Regions from separate parts of the Mus musculus genome. Here all the other regions are reported to be linked to region 3. Evidence: microRNA targets listed by miRTarBase, many of them from high-throughput screens and not tested one by one. Region 3 holds a microRNA gene; each other region holds the end of a gene's coding sequence.
The links. The annotated mature microRNA mmu-miR-10b-5p reads UACCCUGUAGAACCGAAUUUGUG and lies in region 3 at 5,062-5,084, shown strand. An mRNA with a match to its seed (bases 2 to 7 or 8) in the 3' UTR can be bound and repressed. Matches are read on the target gene's strand: a 7mer-m8 pairs with bases 2 to 8, a 7mer-A1 pairs with bases 2 to 7 and ends in A, and an 8mer does both.

Region 1 (7,102 bases), not on the chromosome of region 3:
GTCTTTACACATGTGTGTCTGGTATGGTTCTTTAAGGGGCCTTCATTGTGAAAAAGGAACACATGGTATGGATTTTACACTCCAATAAAATATAAGTGTAAAGAGAAAATCTTTAGTATGAACCTCCAGTGTCTGCTATTTGCTATTCTGGCCAGGATTCACACCTGCAGGGTTCACACTTTCAGGGTCCATGCTTGTTCTGTGGAAGACACTAAAAATGGGGCCAGTCCTCCACCCAAGACCTCACAACTCAGCAAATACACCTTGGCTTGGAAGCCTCACGGCCCAGGTCTCTTTGAGTTATCATTTTTGTTCAGTACAAATTCCACACCAGGAACTCTGATAAAGAGGATATCCTGACAATTAAAAAAAAAAATAGATGACTACAATACTATTGACATCGTGGAAAAGCTGCCAACAATCTTATGATTCATGTTTCAAAGGAGATATTCATAGATTTGGCTTTTGGCATAGTAATAGCAGGATTCTACTTCAGCATTGAACAAGCTGAGGAGTAACAGTGTTACAAGTTATGCTTGCAGTGGGAAGAAATGTATGGGGAGATGGCTGAGCCATTTAAGAAAAAGGCTAAGACCCCGTTAAGTTCAGAGAAGGCAGGTTCTGAAGGCAGGTTCTCAGCTTACGCTGAGGCTAAGGTACAAAGGAGTAGAGGGGACCCCTTCCTGGGCATCCATCCCAGGGGCTGCTGGTGCTCTGCCTTCCAGGACCCGGTTTTAAAACTTTCCACTTCACATTGTGATTCCCACTCAAACCTTGTTCTAGCCTTGTCTGTTCTCAGGAGAAATGTCTGTGTTCATGTCTGTGGTGGCTACCACCTCCAGAAGTCAGTGACAAGAACAAGAGATGGCCTGCAGGGGAACTGTGGTTTACCCAGGGTGAGAGCTAGCTTGGTTCTAGCCATTGCTGGGCAAATGGAATCTGTGGGCTTTTCAGGATGCTGTGGAGAGAGATCCTAGGATATAGTACATATGACATACAGTCGGTACTCATAGGCAAGCTGGTGGCCTGGCTTACTGAGGTAGCATGCTCTGTACAAGGGTGCCAGCTCCTTATCCCTGGATGTCCTGGGCACAACTGACATTCTGTTGCTCAGCTAGGAAAGGTATCCCTCTGAGGTCACCTCTTGCTTCCCACTGTCTGCCACCCCCAAGTTGGCCCAGCCCATTGTATCTGCTACTTCCTGACCATTATACATGGCGTCTGCTGGCTTCTTCTTGAAGTTCATTGCTCTCTATGCAGGACGGAGAATGCTTGGCTTATTAGCAAATTGTATGTTCTCTACATTCATGATGTGATGTGCTTCCCGGAAGTATAGAAGCAGAGGAATGTGGTCCTTAGGGCAAGGTAGACGACATTATGTAGGTTCTGATCCAGGTGTCACATTTGTAGAAGCAGATTTTGTTGGGATTGGATGGCAGGTTAAGGGCTAAGTAGAGGTGATTTGAACTGTCAGTCAGATTGGCCAGATATTCACCAATTTCACCTTTCCTTGTCTTGTTACGCAGAAAAACTACATTTCCCAGCCTCTCTTGTAGCTGGGGCCCACGTGACCAGGGTCAGGTTAATAGAGTATGAGTAATGAGGCTATCAAACACTTCCACCCTGGGCCATAATTGCATGTGGCATTCTTTTTACACTTCTCCTACCTTTGTAGATGGACAGGGGGAATCCCATGATTATGGAACTGCTACTGGAAAATCCTGGGGTGTCACTTTATGATGGCCAGATGATGCCTGGGAAATTGGAGTTCCTTCTTAGGGTTCTTAGTCTTATTGATAAAGTAATTTAAGAATGGACTCAAATGGGAGCCTGAGGATGATAGGAGCTTAAAAGGAAACTCCATGGCAGGACATCTGTAAATCTCAGCAGGCGCCCAGAGGGGAAAATGGACAAGACAAGGGGAAAATGAGTAAGGACGAAGCCAAAAGTACCAGGAGAGAAGTGCTTAGGTTCTGGTCAGCATCTGCAAGAAAGAGAGAGGGAAAAAAAGGAGAACGGGAAAGTTGTCTCTTTCTGAGACAGGACACAGAAGGGTGGGCGGAGCCAGTTGAACCTCAGGGCTGCTCTTACAGACGGTGCTATGAGACAGGAATTATAGGAAGGATAAAGTATGGTATTTCAGTAAATGGATAATTTTGTGGTCATCTTTTTAGCAAGGGTTAAGATGGGCACATCTTCCTAGGAGAGGTCCCATCTTCCTGAACTTGGCAGCTGAATTAGCTCTTCAGGGACGAGAGAGTGGAGCGTCTCAACCATTCTTTACAGTAACAGAATTGATCCGCAGGAGGATTTTGAATTGCTGTCATCACTTTCCAAACTCTGTGTGTGTGTGTGTGTGTGTGTGTGTGTGTGTGTGTGTGTGTGTGTGTGTGCATGTTTAAGTGTGGGTACGGACGCGCAAGTATAGAGAGCAGAAATTGGCACTGAATGCCTCCCCTAATGGTTCTCTGCTTCCTTTTTTGAGCAAGGGTCTTTCTCTGCACCTGGAGCTCACTGATTCAGTTAGACAGGCTGGCTGGAACCCCCCCGGGATCTGTCTCTACCTCTCCAGACCTGGCATTACAGGCATAAGCATCAGAGCCTGGCTGGGTTTTTGTTGTTGTTGTTTGTTTTTGAGGGGTGTTTTTTAGTTTGTTGTTATTTGAGACTCACTATGTAGCTCTGACTATCCTGGAATTACTATGTAGACCAGGTTGGCCTCAAACTCACAAAGATTCATCTGCCTCTGTCTCCTGAGTGTTGGCTTTCTTTATTTTTTCAAATGTGGGTTCTAGAAATTGAACTCAATTTCCATGCTTACACAGAAAGCACTTTCCCAATTAAGCCTTCATCTTAGACCCTTTTCATTGGACATCTTAGAAACGTAAAATAAACGTGTATCAGCCACTTATGTTTGTCATTTTCACTATGATTTGGGGCTAGGGATTGACCCCCGGGCTAACCATGAGATATTCCCTTGCCCCCCCCCCTTGTTTTACAGCATTGTGATGTGACTTGCTTGTTGCTCTAATTGAATCCAGTTTTGCTAATCTGAGTTGGAAGAATTATCATTGAGAAGTGTCTTCAAACAACAGTCCCCAGAGGGTTACATCACATCAGAGACAGCAGATAATAAAGTGATTCTTCATTGGGGTGCTTAGAATTTAAGATACCCCTGGAATGGCTTGTCTGCACAGTAGTGACTTAGTTGCCACTACTAGTGTCTGTGGAGAGACTGGACTGAGGGACCCAGACAAGGTTCTTTGCAGTGAGGAGTTTGGGTATTGTGACCTCTCTGGAATACTCCAGCACAGACAGCGAATATCTCATAGAGTGGTATTCCTAAGATAGCTGCTAACTGAGAGAGAATGGAATTGAGATCTTCCCATTCCCACCAGAGCCCTGGACACTGAGACCAGATGAATTCCAGGAATGGAGACTCCATCCCTAGATGCATAAAGCAGTTGGTTCAGCTTCTGGCTTTCTCTAGAACACAAGCTGGTGGGAAGCAGCAGATGGAGATGTGCTCTGTGCTGAGGCTCTCTCCTACTCTCTTCGGGCCAACCCACAGTCCTGTGTAAACAGGAAGATGAGTCCTTGTATTACTAAGCAACACTGGGGAGTAAAAAAGGAATTTTAATGGCTTCTGTCACCTTCAGTCCAAACCAGATGGACGTTTGCTCCCAGTCCTTCTCTTAGGAGAGAAAGCAGGATTAATCCTTAATAATATTCTTGCTTAGTCTGTTTGGAAGAAAGAGCTATTCTTCCATAACACTCCAAAACTCCAGGAGCCTGATCCATAGAGGGATTAAGTGGTCAAAATCAAATTTATGCTTCAATAGGATGTGGGCGATCCTTAGTGATAAACACGGAGTCTGATGCTGGTGAGAGGATGCCCCGGCAGACAGAGGTTGTCAACAAGCAAGGTGGGCGGCTGCAAGCAAAACCAGTTGGTTCTGGGGAAATGCCAGAGATGAGTGAAACAGGCTCTTCTTCTGGTCTGATGGGGGCTCACCCTTGCGGGGGGGGGGGGGGAGGGGTCAGGGGGGGTCGGGGTTGGGGAGATACTCAATATGCAGAGTCCCATGTGGTCAAAGACAGAGGGAGTCTTGTTCGCTAAACCACAGGGCTGGGTGTTGTCCTTAAAAGTCCCAGGGTGAATCTACAACACCACCTGCACAGATGCATCCAGGGTAGCTTTGCAACATGCTGCATGGATGTATGGGCTTTGCCATGCTGCACGGATTCATGGGCTTTGCCATGAGGCAGAAGAGAAAACTCTACTGTCCTTGTGGCTTGGGCTTAACCACTTGTTAGGCACTCAAATGCAACCCCCATCTTGCCCTTGGATCTTTCTATTTGGGGTCTTTCAAGGACACACCTGATCTTCCTGGTGTGGGTGGAGTCTCTGCCTATAAGGACTGCACACACTCTGCTATGATTGGCTACTTTGTTTTATTTGCTGACTGAAGTCACTACATAAACCCACCTCACAGTCCAACACAGGGATACTTGGCATAAGAGAGAAAACAATACAAAAATACAGCACTCCTTAGTAAGGGGAGCTGGGCTTAGCTTGCTCCAGTCCAAGCCAGTGAGAATCCAGAATTTCAGGTCAAACAGGGGAAATACTGTGGGATGAGGAGGCACAGAACACTTAGCTATCACCATTGGCCTGTAAGGACCGAGGCTGGGGAAGGTGTAGGTCTTTCTGGCATGCAGCCATCTCTGCCAACTCTCCTATACCAAAATGCAGCTTAAGCCAAACCTGTGGTCACGAGACATGATTGTGTGTGTGTGTGTGTGTGTGTGTGTGTGTGGTTAGTTCATTGCACTTAGGAACTCTGGGAAACTGTCACTGTCACACTCCTCTCAAAAGCTGCTGGATGCTCTATGGTGCATGGGGAGAAGGGTAGGAATTACTGACAACAGATACATGATCCTAGTTAGTATCAATGTCTTGGCATACAGTTGCCATGGACACCCTGCCATTTTTTTTATATTCTCCCTCTTTCTTCTCCCTTAGGCTCTCAGGTCTGACACTTAGACTAGACGGACACAAAAAGCTAATTAGGGCTGGGCAGTGGTGGCGCACGCCTTTAATCCTAACACTTGGGAGGCAGAGGCAGGCGGATTTCTGAGTTCGAAGCCAGCCTGGTCTACAGAGTGAGTTCCAAGACAGCCAGGGCTACACAGAGAAACCCTGTGTGCCAGGAACTTGGCTAAGGACGCAGTTTTAGGCCTAAGTCTTCTTATTAAGCTTTAGTACGATGTTTTGAGGGCCCCTGACATCTCTCCGGCATCCCTGGGGTTTCTTTGCCATCAGCCCTTGGGGGTGGGGCCCTGTTCCATAAGTTCTGTAAAGTGAGACGTGCCTGATGCTGGGGTTTCTTCCCTGACTGCCTCTCTGCTGTTATCCCTAGCCACCAACCCCGCCCCTGTTCTTCACCTTAACCAGTCCTCTGGCCTAGACTAGTTTAGAGGCAAGCTCAAATACTGATGGTGGCTATATAGCTTCCTGTGTCACACAAGACCATAGCACACTTGGGCTGGTATCGTCTGTGACAACAGGGGCACTGGAAGGCTTGGCAGGTGACCACGCAGGGTCCTACCCTCCTCTCCGCACCCCAGGCCTGCTGCTCTTTGCAAATCTCCTGGAAGTGACGATGCCGACTCCCTCCCATCTGCAGCCCAGGCGGCCACCAAGAACATGGGAGGAGACAGGGCTCATTCACACAGTCAGCAGTGCCCAGGCTCAGGACACGGAGCAGGTTTCCAGGGGCCAGAGGGACCTGGCTGTGGCCCAAACCATGGTTCCTTCCTGAGGAGAGAGGCACCCGTACATGGTAAAGTGGGAGACAGCCACCATGCAAGCTCCCGACCACAAGGCCTGTTGGTGAAAGCTCAGGGCCTAACTTAGCCTCATACACGTGACTCAAGCTAGGCCAACCCCACTGTGGAGGGCCCTCCCACTCCCAGTGAGCTAGGGGTCTGGAAGGCTGAGTGGAGCTTGGTTAACAATTCAGGTTCCTCGCCCTGGGCCCCACTTTTCCCAGAGGCCTCAGGGGCACCCAGAGGGTAGGCCTCCCTGGCCCTGCTTGTCCTAGAGCAGGTAAGGACAGCTAGGCAGGCTCCTCGGAGGCGGGCTAGGTCCCTGTGAGTGGTCTCACTGACAAAGCAGTACAGCACCGGGTCAGCTACACAGTTGAAGCTGGTGAGGAGGAGGGAGAAGTGATAGACGTTGAAGATGCTCTTGGCAAACTCACAGTTTCTCTCCCAGAGGCTGCGTACCAGCAGCAGCACGTGGTAGGGTAGAAAGCAAGCCAGGAAGATGACCACGGTGCTGAGCACCAGCCGCTGAATCTGGTCCTTGCGGCTCTTCTGTGTGCCGTGGCTGCGGCGCACAGCCCGCAGGATGCCCTGGTAGGAGGCCAGCAGCAGGCAGATGGGGAAGAGAAAGCCCACCAGGAAGCGGTAGTAGTTGATGCTACGCTGCCAGGCCTGGATAGGGTAATGCTCAAAGCAGACTCGGTGCTGGTCCTCGTCCTCAATGACCTCCTTGTGATTGAGGAAGTAGATGCTGGTCAGCAGCTCCTTGGCCCAGATGAGCACACTGACACCCACGGCTGCCTTCAGGGTGCGGAACTGGTGGAAGCGGAAGGGGTGGGCCACAGCCAGGTAGCGGTCGATGGAGATGCAGCAGAGGAAGCCCACGCTGATGTAAATGTTCTCATAGAGGAGGATGCCACACACCTGGCAGGATAGGTCACCATGGGACCAGTCGTCGTGCTGAAGCACGTACTGCAGCCAGAAGGGAAGTGAACAGATATAGAACAGGTCTGCAATGGTCAGGTTACACAGGTACACTCCCAGCTCATTCCGGGCCTTGATCTGCAAGTACCCGAAGTAGAGGGACAGGCAGTTGGCTGGGAAGCCCACCACCAGCACGGTCACATAGACCACTGGGGCTAGTGTCTGGTGGATGGTGTGGTCGATGGGGCAAGATAGTGAGGAGTTTTCTGTAGTGATGTTCCCCATCTTTGGGCCAGAAGGAGCCTTATTCCTCATGGGCTTGGAGATGGAGCCAATCCCTCTCTTGCCA
Region 2 (7,102 bases), not on the chromosome of region 3:
GTGCATTTCTTTCTTTGGAGTCTCAACAAACGATGACCAATGAGGAATGGCAAGGTGTACCACACCATCCAGCATCATCACCATCTGTCGGGTTATATTTATGTTCCTTCTTAATATCATGTGTCCTTTCACGTGTTTGCTTAGCTAAATATCCTTTCACCTGTGTCTGCTTCAGGGAAATATTACTTCACTTGTCTGCCCCAGCAAAACACCATCCAACACAACTGACTTTCCAAAGAACCTTTAAATTTCCACTTCAGGATCCCTTTCTGGTTGGGACTGCCCCCTCCCTCCAGAAGGCCTTCTCTGAAGATCTTTAATGAAGCAGCTCTCAGAAACAATCTTATCTTGTTTGAATTTTTCTATTCAGGAGTGGTACTGAACGCATACATTTTCTTTACAGAAGGGACCCAAGGGTTATATATTTTGTGGAGGGTATGGGAATATCCAGGGAGGGAAATGTCGTTGCCTAAAAGCTTGGGTACTGAGATAGCTCACTAGCATGGGGAGACAGTCCAGGTCCTGGGTTACACCGCTGTTTACCTGTGACTGCCTGGTTGGGGGCCATTGGGTTACATGCTTTGTGGCAAGCACAAAAACAGGCAGGGAGCTAGTTCTACTCTTGCCGGTCCCAGTTTTGAGATTTCTGAGATTTGAGCATGCTCTGCCTTACCACGTCCGTTCCTTTTGTAGCATGGTCCATGTGCCCCACATTCTTCACTACTCCTCTTCTTCCACCCTTTCAACCTCCTAAAGCTAGGTAGGAGAAAAAAGAAGGTAGAGGTGGGGAAAGGTGATGATATCTATAGACTACTTCCTGCTGATTAGGGGAGTCAAGTTCCTTGGGGCAAGTTTGATCTTTGTTGTCAGAATATCTAATACTTCTTGTTTCTTCACTACTTAACAAACCACAACCAACTACCAACTGGCCAAACAATCCCCAGAACTCCAAGTGTCACACACTTGCAAAAACTATCTGCAGATGGCAAATTCATGCCCTTGCTAGAGCACGAGGCAAATCATAGTCAGCTTCTGTGGACAATCTAAAGTGACCCCATATCCCACACCTGGGATTAAAATGAATCCATTTTTATATTTCCACGTTGTTAAAAGAAAACAACATTCTCACCACAACACACCTCTTTCAACACGAGTATGCCTCCTAATCCTTCCCAATCTACCAACTGGAGACCAAGAATTCAAACGATGATCCCACTGGAACCATTCTCAGTCAAAGCCTCCACAGGATCTGACACCCTCTTTGGCTTCCATGACACTTGCATGCATGTGGGACACACACACACACACACACACACACACACACACTAATAAGTAAATGAGTCATGATGGCACATACCTTTAACCCTAGCACTCAGGAGGCAAAGGGCGGCAGATCTTTGAGTTTAAGACTAGCCTGGTCTACAAAGAGAGTTAGTTCCAAGACAGTCAAGGCTACACAAAGAAACTTCTTCTTCTGAAAAATCAAAAACAAACAAAAAAGATAGATAAATAAATCATTCTTTTTTTTTATGAGACAGGGATTCTCTGTATAGCCCAGGACAGCCTGAAACTCATAGAGATCTACTTGCCTTTGCCTCCGGAGTGCTGAGATCAGAGGGTACATCACCACCACATGGCTTACCTGTTATTCTGTGGTGTGTTGTATGTGTGTGTAAGTAACCCACATGCTTTGATAAAAGAAGCCCATAACATGCCAGGCCCAAGGAAACAGACCTCCTATACTAAAACTAAGAGTTGAGCCATCCAGATCAGGAGTTCAAAGTAATCCTCAGCTACATGGAGAGTTTAGGGACAGCCTGAAACCCTGTTTCAAACAGAAGGAAGGAAAGATGGAAAGGGGGAGTGGAGGAGAGGAGAGAGAGATAGGGAGGAGGAGACAGAAGAGCAAAAGGCCATTTGAGGGTTTGGTGCAGGTGTAATGTCTTAGTCAGGGTTTCTATTCCTGCACAAACATCATGACCAAGAAGCAGTTGGGGAGGAAAGGGTTTATTCAGCTTACATTTCCACATTACTGTTCATCACTGAAAGAAGTTAGGACTGGAACTCAAGCAGGTCAGGGATCAGGAGCTGATGCAGAGGCCATGGAGGGATGTTCTTTACTGGCTTGCTTCCCCTGGCTTGCTCAGCCTGCTCTCTTATAGAACGGAGACTACCAGCCCAGAGATGGTCCCACCCACAAGGGGTCTTTCCCCCTTGATTACTAACTGAGAAAATGCCTTACAGTTGGATCTCATGGAGGCATTTCCTCAACTTAAGTTCCTTTTTCTGTGATAACTCCAGCTGTGTCAAGTTGACACAAAACTAGCCAGTACATGTAACTAATCCTGTCAGATCTGTCCAACATCTTCTTGCCACATGGCCCCCAATTTCCAAATAGTGAAACTAGATGCAAAGGTTAGTCTGGTTAGAGGTCCAGCCTGGGACACTAACCTGCAGGACCTGCTGACTCCCTGCATGTGCCTGCTGCTAGCGCCCTCTACTGGTCACTTTTGGTCACACCTCAGAGTCTGACTCCCCGTTTATCACATTTAATTTTTTTTTATTTGACCTTGTAGATGGTCCTTCAGGAGAATTTTTGAGACCCTGCTTTCTGATCTCCAGTGTATTCTTGTGTCTCTCAGTTTTCCGACTGTCACAAATGTCCACAGGGTCCTTTGATGCTGAGAACGTGTGATCTAGCTGGAGAAGAGCCCAGTGGCCCACTATGAGAGACCTGGCCCAGGTTAACCCTGATGCTGAGCTCACTGGGACATTCCTCTGCATAAGAGCTATAGATGGTTTTGCAAAATGAATAAATAAATAAATAAATAAATAAAAGTGGTGTATAGTAAATCATGACTATTCATCTAGAACCCTAGAAGTTAGGATAGAAGGGTGGCTGGGCAGTGGTGGCACAAGCCTTTAATCCCTGCACTTGGGGGGCAGAGGCAGGCAGGTTTCTGAGTTCGAGGCCAGCCTGGTCTACAGAGTGAGTTCCAGGAGAGCCAGGGCTACACAGAGAAACCCTGTCTCAAAAAAAAAAAAAAAAAAAAAGGGTGCTGTAATTTTGAGGCTAGCCTGTGCTACATAGTGAGTTCTGGGCCAGCCTAGGCTATTGCCTCAGCCTCCCAGGTCACACCTGGTCAGGCATGTATGGCTTCATGGTGATATTTCTATTTTTTTCTTTCTTTCTCTCTTTTCTTCTTCCTTCCTTCTTTTCCTTCCTTTTGTCCTTCCTTCCTTCCATCTTTCTTTCTTTCTTTCTTTCTTTCTTTCTTTCTTTCTTTCTTTCTTTCTTTCTTTCTTTCTTTCTTTCTTTCCTTTTTTTGAGACAGGCTCCTGTAGCCCAGGCTGGCTATGAACTCACTGTGTATCTGAGTGTGACCTTGAACTCCTGATCCTCCTGCCTCAGTCTCCTGAGTGCTGGGATAACCTTCGATTTCATAGCAGAGGAACATTGTATGTGGGGAAAAGACAAATAGAACCATCAGTACAGGTGTTCCTCACATCCCCTACCTCAGAAGCTCTTTGAGTGAGATTCTTAACTTTAGGGGATCAAACACGACGTCTTTCCCTCAGGCCCAAGTTTGCTGGCAGCGATAGCACATTCCTTTAATCCCAGCACTGGGAAGGCTGAGGCAGGTAGATCACTGTGAGTTTGGGGCCAGCCTAGTTTACAGAGAGAGTTCCAGGACAGCCAATGCTACACAGAGAGCCCCTGTTTCAAAAACAAACAAACAAAAACAAAAAAATCATACGTTCACAGTACCACCACCATCTCTTAATACTGGAACCCATCCAGGGGACACAGCTGAAGAATATCTAGGTTTGAAAATAGACAGAAGGGAGCTGGAGAGATGGTTCAGTGGTTAAGAGCACTGACTGCTCTTCCAGAGGTCCCGAGTTCAAATCCCAGCAACCACATGATGGCTCACAACCACCTGTAATGAGATCTGATGACCTCTTTTGGTGTGTCTAATGACAGCTAAGGTGTACTCATATAGAATAAATAAATAAATCTTGAAAGAAAGAAAGAAGGAAAGAGAGAAAGAAAGAAAGAAAGAAAGAAAGAAAGAAAGAAAGAAAGAAAGAAAGAAAATAGACAGAAGGGACCTAGGAGGCCCAGGTTCCACCCCCCTCAAGGGGTCCAAAGAGCTCTCAGGAAGGATAGGTCTGACGCAAAGCCCAGGCTGTGTGTTCTTGGGTAAATCATTTACCTCCTCTGAGCCTTATCTATGATAGGAAAGTATTCTTGTGTGTTTGAAGTGCTTCATGCAGGGGGCTAGATGACATGCCCAGACAAATTGTGACACATGTCACAATCACATGGAGATGTAGAATGCTACCCACCTGTGAGTGGCCAGGCAAGGTAAAGCATGCTTGTCACCTCAGTACCCAGGAAGTTGAGGCTGGAAGACTGAGAGGTCTGGGACAGCCTGGGCTAAACAGAAACGCCCTGTCTTTAAACTTGGAACAGAGACACCTACTGCCTCGTGTCCTCCTTTCCCGGACAAGCTGTGAAACCCCTTCCCTGTTGCTTCAGATCCCGCCCCAGGCAGCGACAGCTAGCCTGTCTTTCTTCCGTTGTCCCATGCAGCCAAGGAACTGGAGGACTCACTGTTTCCAAGAAGGGCACACCCATCTTGCCATTTTCGAGGGAAGCTTCTCCCCTATGTCACCCTGTACACTAGCCCTTCCAACAATGTCTTCTTCGGACCATATATCAATGTCTCTGAGTGCTCGTGCAGTTAGCATCTGTCACCACTGCCAGAGGGTGGGTAGGGGACTCTATGTCTGCTGTCAGGCAAAGAGAGTGGCATCTTGTAAGGAGGAGTGAACTGAAAATAAGATCAGGATACTTCATTTGTGGGTTATTTTATTTTATGTATGTGAATGTTTGCCTGAATGTGTATCTGAGAACCATGTCTGTGAGGACCCATAGATGCCAGGAGAGGAGGTTGGATCTCCTGGGACTGCCACATGAGTTCTGGGACTCAAACCTGGGTCCTCTACAAGAGCTGCCAGTGCTCTTAATTGCTGAGCCTCCAGCTCCTTACTTGCATTTTTTTACATGTTAAAAACCTTTGTCTGCCGAGCGTGGTGGCACACGCCTTTAATCCCAGCACTTGAGAGGCAGAGGCAGGCAGATTTCTGAGTTCAAGGCCAGCCTGGTCTACAAAGTGAGTTCCAGGACAGCCAGAGCTATACAGAGAAACCCTGTCTCGAAAAACCAAAACCAACCAACCAAACAAACAAACTTTGGTCTATGCACCTGCCACACTGTGTGTGCTACTGCATGTGTGTGCAGGTCAGAAGACAATGTGTAGGAGTTGCCTTCTATTCTCTTTCTCATGCAAATTCTGGGGTTCAGATTCAGGTCATCATATTGAACTGCAAGCCATCAGAGCCATCTGAGCAACCCACACTTGCAATTTTAATTTGTGTAGGTGGATTAAGGGGGAGGTGGAATGAATGGATGGATATAAGGAGGGAGGTAGATGGAAGAAGGAGGGGAAAGAGAGAGGGAGAGAAGGTGGGTGGATGGATGGATGGATGGATGGATGGATGGATGGATGGATGGACGGGTGAATGGATGGATGGACAGGTGGATGAATGGATGGGTGGGTTGATGGATAGGTTGTTAAAATGGTGAATGGTTGATAAGTGGGTGGGTGGATATTTTCAAGGCTATTCCAAATACTTCACACGTGACCTAATTTTAATCAACAGAAGTCCCAGGAGGGAATGACATTTTATTTACAAACAGCATTTGAAACATCACATCCCTCAGGGCTATGCAAGCTGAATACTGTGGAGCAGAAAATCAAGCTTTGGCATGTCTAACTCTGTGTCCTTAGCCATCACGGAGACCCTTTCCCCAATACCCTATCCTCTAAGTGCCCCATGATGTTGCCCAGGTTAGCCCTCTATTATCCTCATTCATGGCTCTCATGTTCAACACTTTGCCCTGAGTGCATGTGGTGGTTCAAAGAGGTCTCTATACGAATATCTATCTGTAGGTGGTGGGGCCTGGAATGTTCTTTGGATACTCCCCAGTTTCCCAGAATACAGTCATGATCCAGTTGAATCTATAACACTCATAAACAGTCCCAGATGTGCGAGCTGACAGAGAGCAAGCATTATGCTTCAGGCAGGTGCTGTATCAGCCACACACCCATCTGTTCACCACATCCGTGGCCATGAAGAAGCTGTGGTCTCATAGGTGGACACAGGCCAGTCATCCCACACACCAGGCAGCCCCTGTCCCTCAGTCACCAAACTAGTACCCTGAGCCACAAGTAAATCTACCCTGTGCTGACGAGCAGGGCAAGGAGCATGGGCCGGGGGATGGGTGCTGCAAGTGTGCCCACTGAAAGCCTTGTCCTGCCCTGTATCCTCAGTACACAGGAGACTCGGTGGCTGGCCAGAGAGCAGAGACTACAGCAGAGCTCAGCAGTTCTTGTCATTCTCCTGGATCTCCACATAGGGTAGCCCGATGACCCAGCTGTCCCGGGGCCAGTAGTGGACTTTGAGGGTTTTATCTGGCATCTCATACTTTGCATCCACCAGGGCCATGGTCACGATACCATAAGGAAATGTGATGCTTATGAGGACGTGCCTGTGGTTAAGAGAGGGCAGGGTAAGAAATCGAGAGATGCCCCCAGCTCTACCCAGTCTTCTTAGGTTCTCACAGATGCTAACTTGGCTCTTTAGATCCAGGCAGCCAGTTGTAACCTCTCCCTACCACCTCTATATCCCAGGGTCTGGATCTTGTCCCTCTCCCACTCTTGCACCCCAGACACTTCTCTACTTGGAGTGCATCTGAACTCTGACTTGGGTTCTTGGGATCCAAGAGGGGTATTTTACCAAATGCTGTGCAGGTAGTAGAAGTGAATCCGCTGCCAGAAGCTGCAAAGTACACGGTCACTGATCCAGCTGGTCAGTGCAGCGGCCCATAAGACCACAGAAACCGCAATCAGATGCCGAAGATCATCATCCCTAATCCTGGGGACAAAGAGAGAGCCTGGGCTGGGGGTGGGTGGTGAGCTGCTGGATGGACAGACAGACAGATGGACAGGTGGATTGATGGTTGGATGGTGGG
Region 3 (7,118 bases):
TTTTCCTGGATTGCTCAGCAGGATAGACAGAGATAGTCCCACACTTCTTTCTTAGGCTCTCCCTGTGATGGGGGCCAGCAGTAGGGAGGAGTTACAGAAGAGCCCACTCAGATGTGGGCCTTCAGGGACCCTTGAGCACTGAGCTAAATGACTTGGGCACACAGTGGGGTTGTGCACATCTGACTTCCTGGGCTCAGGTTCTTTGAGAGCCTCCTGTGCTTCCTCACACCCCGCACGCACCCGGCCCCTTCACACCAGGGCTGTTTTATTGCTTTATTGCTTTAAGGCTCTTCAGAGCCTTACTCGCCAGAGTCCGGTGGGGCCTGTTCTCCACTTTCTCACTTCACCAAACCTCAAGTCTTGCTGTTTTAAGCAGTTTGGTCACTTGCAAAGGCTTCTCTTTCAGATCTGAGCAAATTATAAAAACCCCTAGGCATGTGGCAATCTTCAACTTTCACCAAGCCCCATCCACAACAATACAGAGGACACTAAGTGTTAATCCCAGCTGCCTCCCCACCCCCAAGGCCACCCAGCCTCTCCCCTGGCCACTCTTCCCTATTGAATCAAGCAAAAAATCTCAAAAATAATTTCCAACTTTTGCGATAAGCAAGTAAGAAGTAGCCTTTGTCTTTCCTGCTTACCACATCGAATGCTAGAAAATGATTGAAATAAAGGCGGTGATGGTACTCACAGTGGATGCAGCCCAAGAGTCATAGGACAAGCCTACCAACCAGCCTTGTCCAAATAGCACTATCCCCCAATTTAAACAGCTTTCTCTGAAAAGATGCAAGTTGAAAAGCCCGGGGTATTGATATGAATATGACCTCTCTCGCATTCTGGATATTTGGAACTATTTAAATCCAAGGGAACAGTTGCAGTGAACCTTTATTTAGTGAATAAAAGTTTAAAGCCAAAGGTTATTTATGGTTCTGCAGAGCCGGGACCTGAGTGGCTATTTATAAGCACGTGATTCCAATAAACTTTGTTTTATGGCTTGAGAGTTGACAAGCCAAAATATAATTCCCACCATAAATTAGGTTAAGAGCATACAAGTGCAGATGCTTGGTTCCTGTAGCAGCGATAGGCAAGTGAGAGGCTCCAGCCAGCGCCCCGGGCTCAGGAGACAGCTCTCCTCTAAGCTTCTCTACCAACGAAAAGAAACCCAGTAAGTCACTCATTACTTTGTCCACAATAACTCTAGAGTTGTGGGGCAGGGGGTCTGAGCCCAGCCTTCTCTGCTTGGGGAAAGCCTATCTATTGAAGTTCATTTTAATTTTAGCCTAAGCCTAACTTAATAAATTGAATGGGGGGTCTTGGCATTTCCCTCTCCTGTGTATACCTGGAACGTTGGGAAGTGAGGGCCTTCTACCCCAAAAGCAGGACTTACACTTGCCTCTCAGTAGTGGAGCAACAACTTTAAAAGTGGAAGAAAGCAATGATGGGGGGTGGGGAGGAGAGGGGACCGGTGTGGAGATGAGTTACCTCTGAGGTAGTTCAGAGCGGGGTTTGCCCCCCCTTTTCTTTTTCTTTCTGTTCCTAGAAGACTAAAAACTTGAAGATGGACATGAGTGCCCTGGGAACCACTGTTCTCTTTGATCGGTCTGTAGGTTCTCCTGCAGGTATGTTTAAAAAATTAATGTCAAACAGATAGAATGAGATCATATTTTAGACCATGTCTGTAAGATCTAGATCATTTTCCTTTAAACACATCAATTTCCCTTTCTGGTTATCTTTTGGGTTCTCATTTCCCCTCGGAAGGAAATGACTGTTTTGAATTGGAGACATGGAAAAAAAAAAATATGTCCCTGCCTGCCATGCCTCCTCTTTGAGGAGAATGCAGGTTTGGACGCTGGGGTGGAATTAAAAACCAACCTGAAACTGGAAAAGGAGGTCTGAACTGTTTCCAGAGGGAGCAGAATTGGGGTCGGGACAAATAGAATGTCTGCAGGCTCTCACCAGTGGGCTCGCACCCACCCTCCCACACCAGAAGGAAATGCACAAAGGCCTATTTTCTGACTTCCCATTTCCCCCCTGGGGAAACCCTGCCTCAGGCAGTCTGAGTCAGGCCGTATAACTGGTTGGGTTTTGCCCAAGGGTGCGTGAAGTAGGGTAGGTGACCAGGACAGACTCCCATAGCCCTTAGCTCTGCCTTTGAGGATGCTATCAGAGGAAAACTTTGTGCAGTACCCGAAGGCGGTCACCAGAAGCAAGGAGTTCTAGGTATTGGTGGAATGTCTGGGCCTTGTCACGTTCTGCATGTCGCCTATGGATGCTTTATTGTCCTGTGAAATTTGAGAGACCCCACTTTCATTGCAACAGGTTTTGGAGCGTCAGGGAGAACGAGGGAGAACCACTGTAAGTACCTTCCCTTTTCTTCCGAGGAACGAAAGGGTAGTGCTAAGACTGGGAGGAGGTGGGCGGAAGGTCCGCGCCAGCGGTGATGGGAGGGTTAAGGAGTAGCGGAGTGGCGCTGCCTCCCCAGGCCAAAACGGACTCGCTTCGTGGAGGGATGGAAGCTCTAGGCTGACCCTTTAGGAAGTATTTCTGGGACCTAGTTCACAGTCACCTGCTCAAGTAAACGCACCGCAGGGGACCGCCCTTGTCTTCCCGGACCTCTCTGGACCATACAGGCCTTTGCCAGGCTTCTCTGGCTCGCACAGGTGCAGCAGACTTGCAGCTAATTAGCAGCCCACCCTATCAACGAACTGAACTACGGGCGGGCCAGCATCCACAACTGCTAGAATTGACCCAATCAACACCAAGGCAACGGGGGTCCCTCTCTGCTGTCCAGCCATTATTCTCTCTGCCCAGTCTATCTCAGCCTTCTCTTGCTGTATATAGGTTTTAATTTAAAATTTGATTTATTACAGACAAAAACAAACATATAACCCTTGATGGTCTTGGGTGTGTTGGATTGGCCTGTTTCCAGGAAGGGCTACAACTTCTGAGCTTATGTAGACATTCCTCTCCTGTCCCTTTCTGGGTCCTAGCTTCACTGGTGTGGGTCCCAGTTTGGGATACCCGGTGAACAAAAAGAGTACTTTCTCTTTCCCTCCGTTTCTCCTTAGCTGCAGTTGAAGAATTTCTACTCTACTCCAGAGTCCAGTGGAATTGGGTGGGATCAGAGGCAGGGACTCCAGTTCTTTGGCTCTGAAGTTTGAAGCTGAGAATGCTGGTGACATCTTCTGGGTGTCATTAGAAGGGTTGGCACTAGAAGGAGAGTCAAGGAAATAGTAGAGGCTTGCCACTCACTGCAAACCACAGGTAGTTTAATTTTAATGGAACAGTAGCAGATTGGTAAGGACCACAGGGACCAGGCATCCTCCCTCTCTTGTGAGATGTCTTCCCTTCCTGGTCAGAGAAGCTGAGACTGGGCTCAGGGCCAGGTTTCTTTGCTGGGCCCCTGGTGAGGCTGAGCTAACAGGGAAGTGAAGACCTTTACAGCTTGTAGTTCCTTCTATGAACCAGGCCTGCACACAGTGAACCAGGCTCCATGGTGAAAAATCTGGACTCCCCAGACTTTCTCTGGCCTTGCCCCTGCCCTCTTCCTTGGCACCCTTGGCTGTGAGGGCTCATCTCTGCTGAGGCTGCTTGCTTGCTGGCGCCTTGTAGCTGCCCACAGCACAAAAAGCCGGAGAGATCAAAAGCATTTGTATGGGCAGTTGAGAGGGAGGTGAATATTTAACGCTTTTGTTCATCAATAACTTGTTGGCTTTGACCTGTCTGAACAAGTCGAGCAATAAGGTGAAATGCAGGTCACAATGTCTAACAAATATGAAAATGTGTGTACTCATCTTGGTCCTCACTCAACCCATCGGACTTCCCCAATTTGTCTGGGTAAAACAGAGGTAGGCCCAGTGTCCCCAGAAAGGCCTGTCAACGTGTCCATGGGTGAAAGGGCTGGCATTAGGAGAAACTGGGGAGAGTCTTTAAACAAACGGATTTTAACCCCCTTTTTTTTTTTTAGAACTGACACCTGGGAAATCCCTGCAAAATAGTGGAAGTGAAAGATGGTGGGAGGGCATGGAAGGGCAAAGTACAGGGTCAAAGTGAGCACCTAATTTTGCCAGATATGATGAGGGGAGTCTCCCTGCCCCACCCCATCAAAATCAAGGCATGGGGCTTGAAAGTGATTTTTCGAATTATATAGGAAGGGATCAAAACAATACTTAGAAATGTGGACATCTTCAATCTGTTATCAGGCATCCATAAGCTCGGCCCAGGCCAGGGCATCCCTCTGCCCCTGAAATCAGCCCAGCCCCAGAGTGCATCTGGGCTCTTGATGCCCTGAATTGAGGGGCAAGCCCAGGACAGCGGAGGCGCTGGGGCGGCGAAATTCGCGAACTTTTGTACTCTTCTGTGCTGCTGTCGGCAAAGCAAAAATAATGAAACTTTGTGATATGTTTGTAAATGATTTCGAATGACCCCTCGCCCTGCCCTTCACCATTAGCTCGACAGTCTCAGCCCAGGGAGGCTCGGTGGCCGCAAACAGCGCCTGCCTCCGGGTCTGCAGCAGCAGTCATAGCAGCAGCAGAAGCAGCAGCAGCGGGATCCGAAAGTCCGGCGGGGCTGAGGGCCCAGAAAGGTAAATGCTCGAATTCTAGGAGGACTAGCTGTGACCACTCACTTGGCTTAGGTTCTGGTGAAGACTATTCCTTTTGCCTTTTTCAAAACTCCCTTTCTGCTGCTGAGGGCCTTTGCTTCTTTTTGGGAAATACCACTTGATAAGGGGGCGGGAGATTTGGGTTCTGAGAAGGGGCAATTAAGCCGCCATCTCTGGGGTGAAAAAAAAACTCCCCTTCTTTTCTTTTCTTTTTTTTTTTTTTAAGAAGAAGAAGGTCCTGGCTGCTCAGCTACTTGGTGGCCCCCATCCTGGCAAGCCGATGAGGGAACTCATTGCTGTAGCGAGCAGCAATACTTAGAAATGCACCGAGCCTACCTGCACCATCTCTGAAAGCCAGGCTTGGTGAGTTCCTGGTGGCTGTGCTGAAGAGATCAGGTCTGGCAGCTGCCTGAATGTCTGCTCTGGGTAGGACCCGAGGTTGTAACGTTGTCTATATATACCCTGTAGAACCGAATTTGTGTGGTACCCACATAGTCACAGATTCGATTCTAGGGGAATATATGGTCGATGCAAAAACTTCATATATCTCCGACATGGCCAGAGACTGAGGCGCGGAGAGTACTGGCAGCCCAGCCGGCAAGCCACCTCTTTCTTTTTCATTACCTTAGACTCCAGGATGATCGACTTTGCCTGGTGAAATTGTACAGCCTTTTCCTGGAGAAACTCCTATAGATATTCCAGTAGGTGCTCAAGTGGTTGTCTGAGTGTAAAGCCAGAGAGCCAGGTTTTAGGGTATTAGAGAGTGAGGTGAAAGGCCAGAAAGCTCCAGCAGAAGCCCTGCTCTGAAGGAGCATGAGACACAAAGGTACCCAAATGGGGCTCACCTGCCCTTGTGTGGGAAGAAGACAAACTGAAAGATAGGCCATCGGAGACCGTTGGGGTACATTTAGGCAAGGTTAAGGTCCCCCTCCCCACCATCCCAATATGACCCAACCCCTCAGCCACCAGACTCAGAACTGTGAGGGCCTCCTGCAGAAAGATCCAACTTCAACTAGAAACACCCCAGCCTGCGCATTGGCAGAAAAGCATAGTGGTTACTCATTGCCTAACTCAATTCAGGTCCGCCAGATTCTGGTAACTTTTGGGTGACCCTGATGAAGACAAAGCCAAGACAGGTCTTTGTATGTCAGAGTCCAGGACTCCTGCCAGCTGGCCGGGCAGCCTGCCTGCCTGCCTAGGACTCTACCCAACTCGGAGGCCACATTGCCCACACTCATTCTTCCTTATTTTGCACCCCAGTAGGAGAATTCACTCTTCTTTGAACTATGTCCATTCTGGGGGCTGCTTCAGGCGATGGTGAGTAAGGAGGGCATGGGAGGTTAGCAAAGTCAGTGGAAGACAAAAGCCGAGATTACCTGCCGGAAATTGGGACCCCGGGGATAGAATTAGAACTCTATTAGCATCTGTCAGGGACTCTCAAATGTGGCATGGCAAGTCACTTGATTACACGTATGTTATTTAGTTAAATTTGTGAAAATTATGAGATGCTCACCAACCCGGTGATAAACATGCTTTCTTCCTATTGGCTGGCCTGGTCACATGGCCGCCCAACTTTATTCAGTTGACAGCAAGTAGGAGGGCCCAATGGAAGGAGAAAAAAGACAACACGAGAAAAATTAGTATTTTCTACCTTCTGAAATTAATGGCCATGAGTTCGTATATGGTGAACTCTAAGTACGTGGACCCCAAGTTTCCTCCGTGCGAGGAATATTTGCAGGGTGGCTACCTAGGCGAGCAGGGAGCCGACTACTACGGCAGCGGTGCACAGGGCGCCGACTTCCAGCCCTCGGGGCTCTACCCACGGCCCGACTTCGGCGAGCAACCCTTCGGAGGCGGCGGGCCCGGGCCTGGCTCAGCGCTGCCCGCGAGGGGTCACGGACAGGAGCCGAGCGGCCCGGGAAGTCATTACGGTGCCCCGGGAGAGCGGTGCCCAGCGCCCCCGCCTGCGCCCCTGCCTGGCGCTCGGGCCTGCAGCCAGCCCACCGGCCCCAAGCAGCCGCCCCCCGGGACAGCACTCAAGCAGCCCGCTGTGGTCTACCCTTGGATGAAGAAGGTGCACGTGAATTCGGGTAAGGAGTGGGGGCAGCGACCTCACAGCCCTCCCGCACCACTCCTTGCATCTTTTGGCCTGCACCCCCCACCCCAGGGGTTGCGAATGGGTAGGGGCTTGTGCAGCTTCCTTGGGCGCCGCAATTACTCTCTCCATAAATTTTTATAGCTGAGGGAGCAGGCCGGGACCATGTGGCTGGCTGCTTGGCTGTGGGCGCAAAAGGGGGTGGGGATGGGGATGGGGTGGGGGGAGGACTCCATTTCCACAGCAGAGGGAACGCAGAGCAAAACAAGGACCTTTCCAAAATGTTGGCGATACCGAGCTCTTGGTGGGCCAGTGGCAAGGGAGAACCTTTGAGGAGGACCTGTGAGCGTGGGGAGTGTGTGCATGGAAGGGCTTGGGTGGGAGTGTGTGTATGTTTAGGGAGAGGGCGGGAGGGAGGAA

Region 1: miRTarBase lists Gpr68 as a target of mmu-miR-10b-5p. Seed matches in the 3' UTR shown: 7mer-m8 at 5,201-5,207.
Region 2: miRTarBase lists Acer1 as a target of mmu-miR-10b-5p. Seed matches in the 3' UTR shown: 8mer at 6,307-6,314, 7mer-A1 at 6,285-6,291 and 7mer-m8 at 5,215-5,221.

The regions. Positions count from the first base shown.
Region 1 is chr12:100,872,246-100,879,347 of GRCm38, forward strand. It overlaps Gpr68 (G protein-coupled receptor 68), which reads right to left. Exons shown (of 3, transcript NM_001177674.2): 3 at 4,437-7,102. The coding sequence starts at 7,038. The coding sequence ends at 5,941. It overlaps Dglucy (D-glutamate cyclase), which reads left to right. Exons shown (of 13, transcript NM_145448.5): 13 at 1-365. Among named protein-coding and RNA genes, the nearest start is that of Gm36572, 18 kb to the right of the region's middle.
Region 2 is chr17:56,948,629-56,955,730 of GRCm38, forward strand. It overlaps Acer1 (alkaline ceramidase 1), which reads right to left. Exons shown (of 6, transcript NM_175731.4): 5 at 6,868-7,005; 6 at 4,862-6,619. The coding sequence ends at 6,451. Among named protein-coding and RNA genes, the nearest start is that of Mllt1, 17 kb to the left of the region's middle.
Region 3 is chr2:74,721,013-74,728,130 of GRCm38, forward strand. It overlaps Mir10b (microRNA 10b), which reads left to right and starts at 5,058; the gene lies at 5,058-5,125. All of the region lies in intron 1 of Hoxd3 (homeobox D3), which reads left to right. It overlaps Hoxd4 (homeobox D4), which reads left to right and starts at 966. Exons shown (of 6, transcript NM_010469.2): 1 at 966-1,165; 2 at 1,541-1,619; 3 at 2,320-2,355; 4 at 4,451-4,966; 5 at 5,864-6,693. The coding sequence starts at 6,267.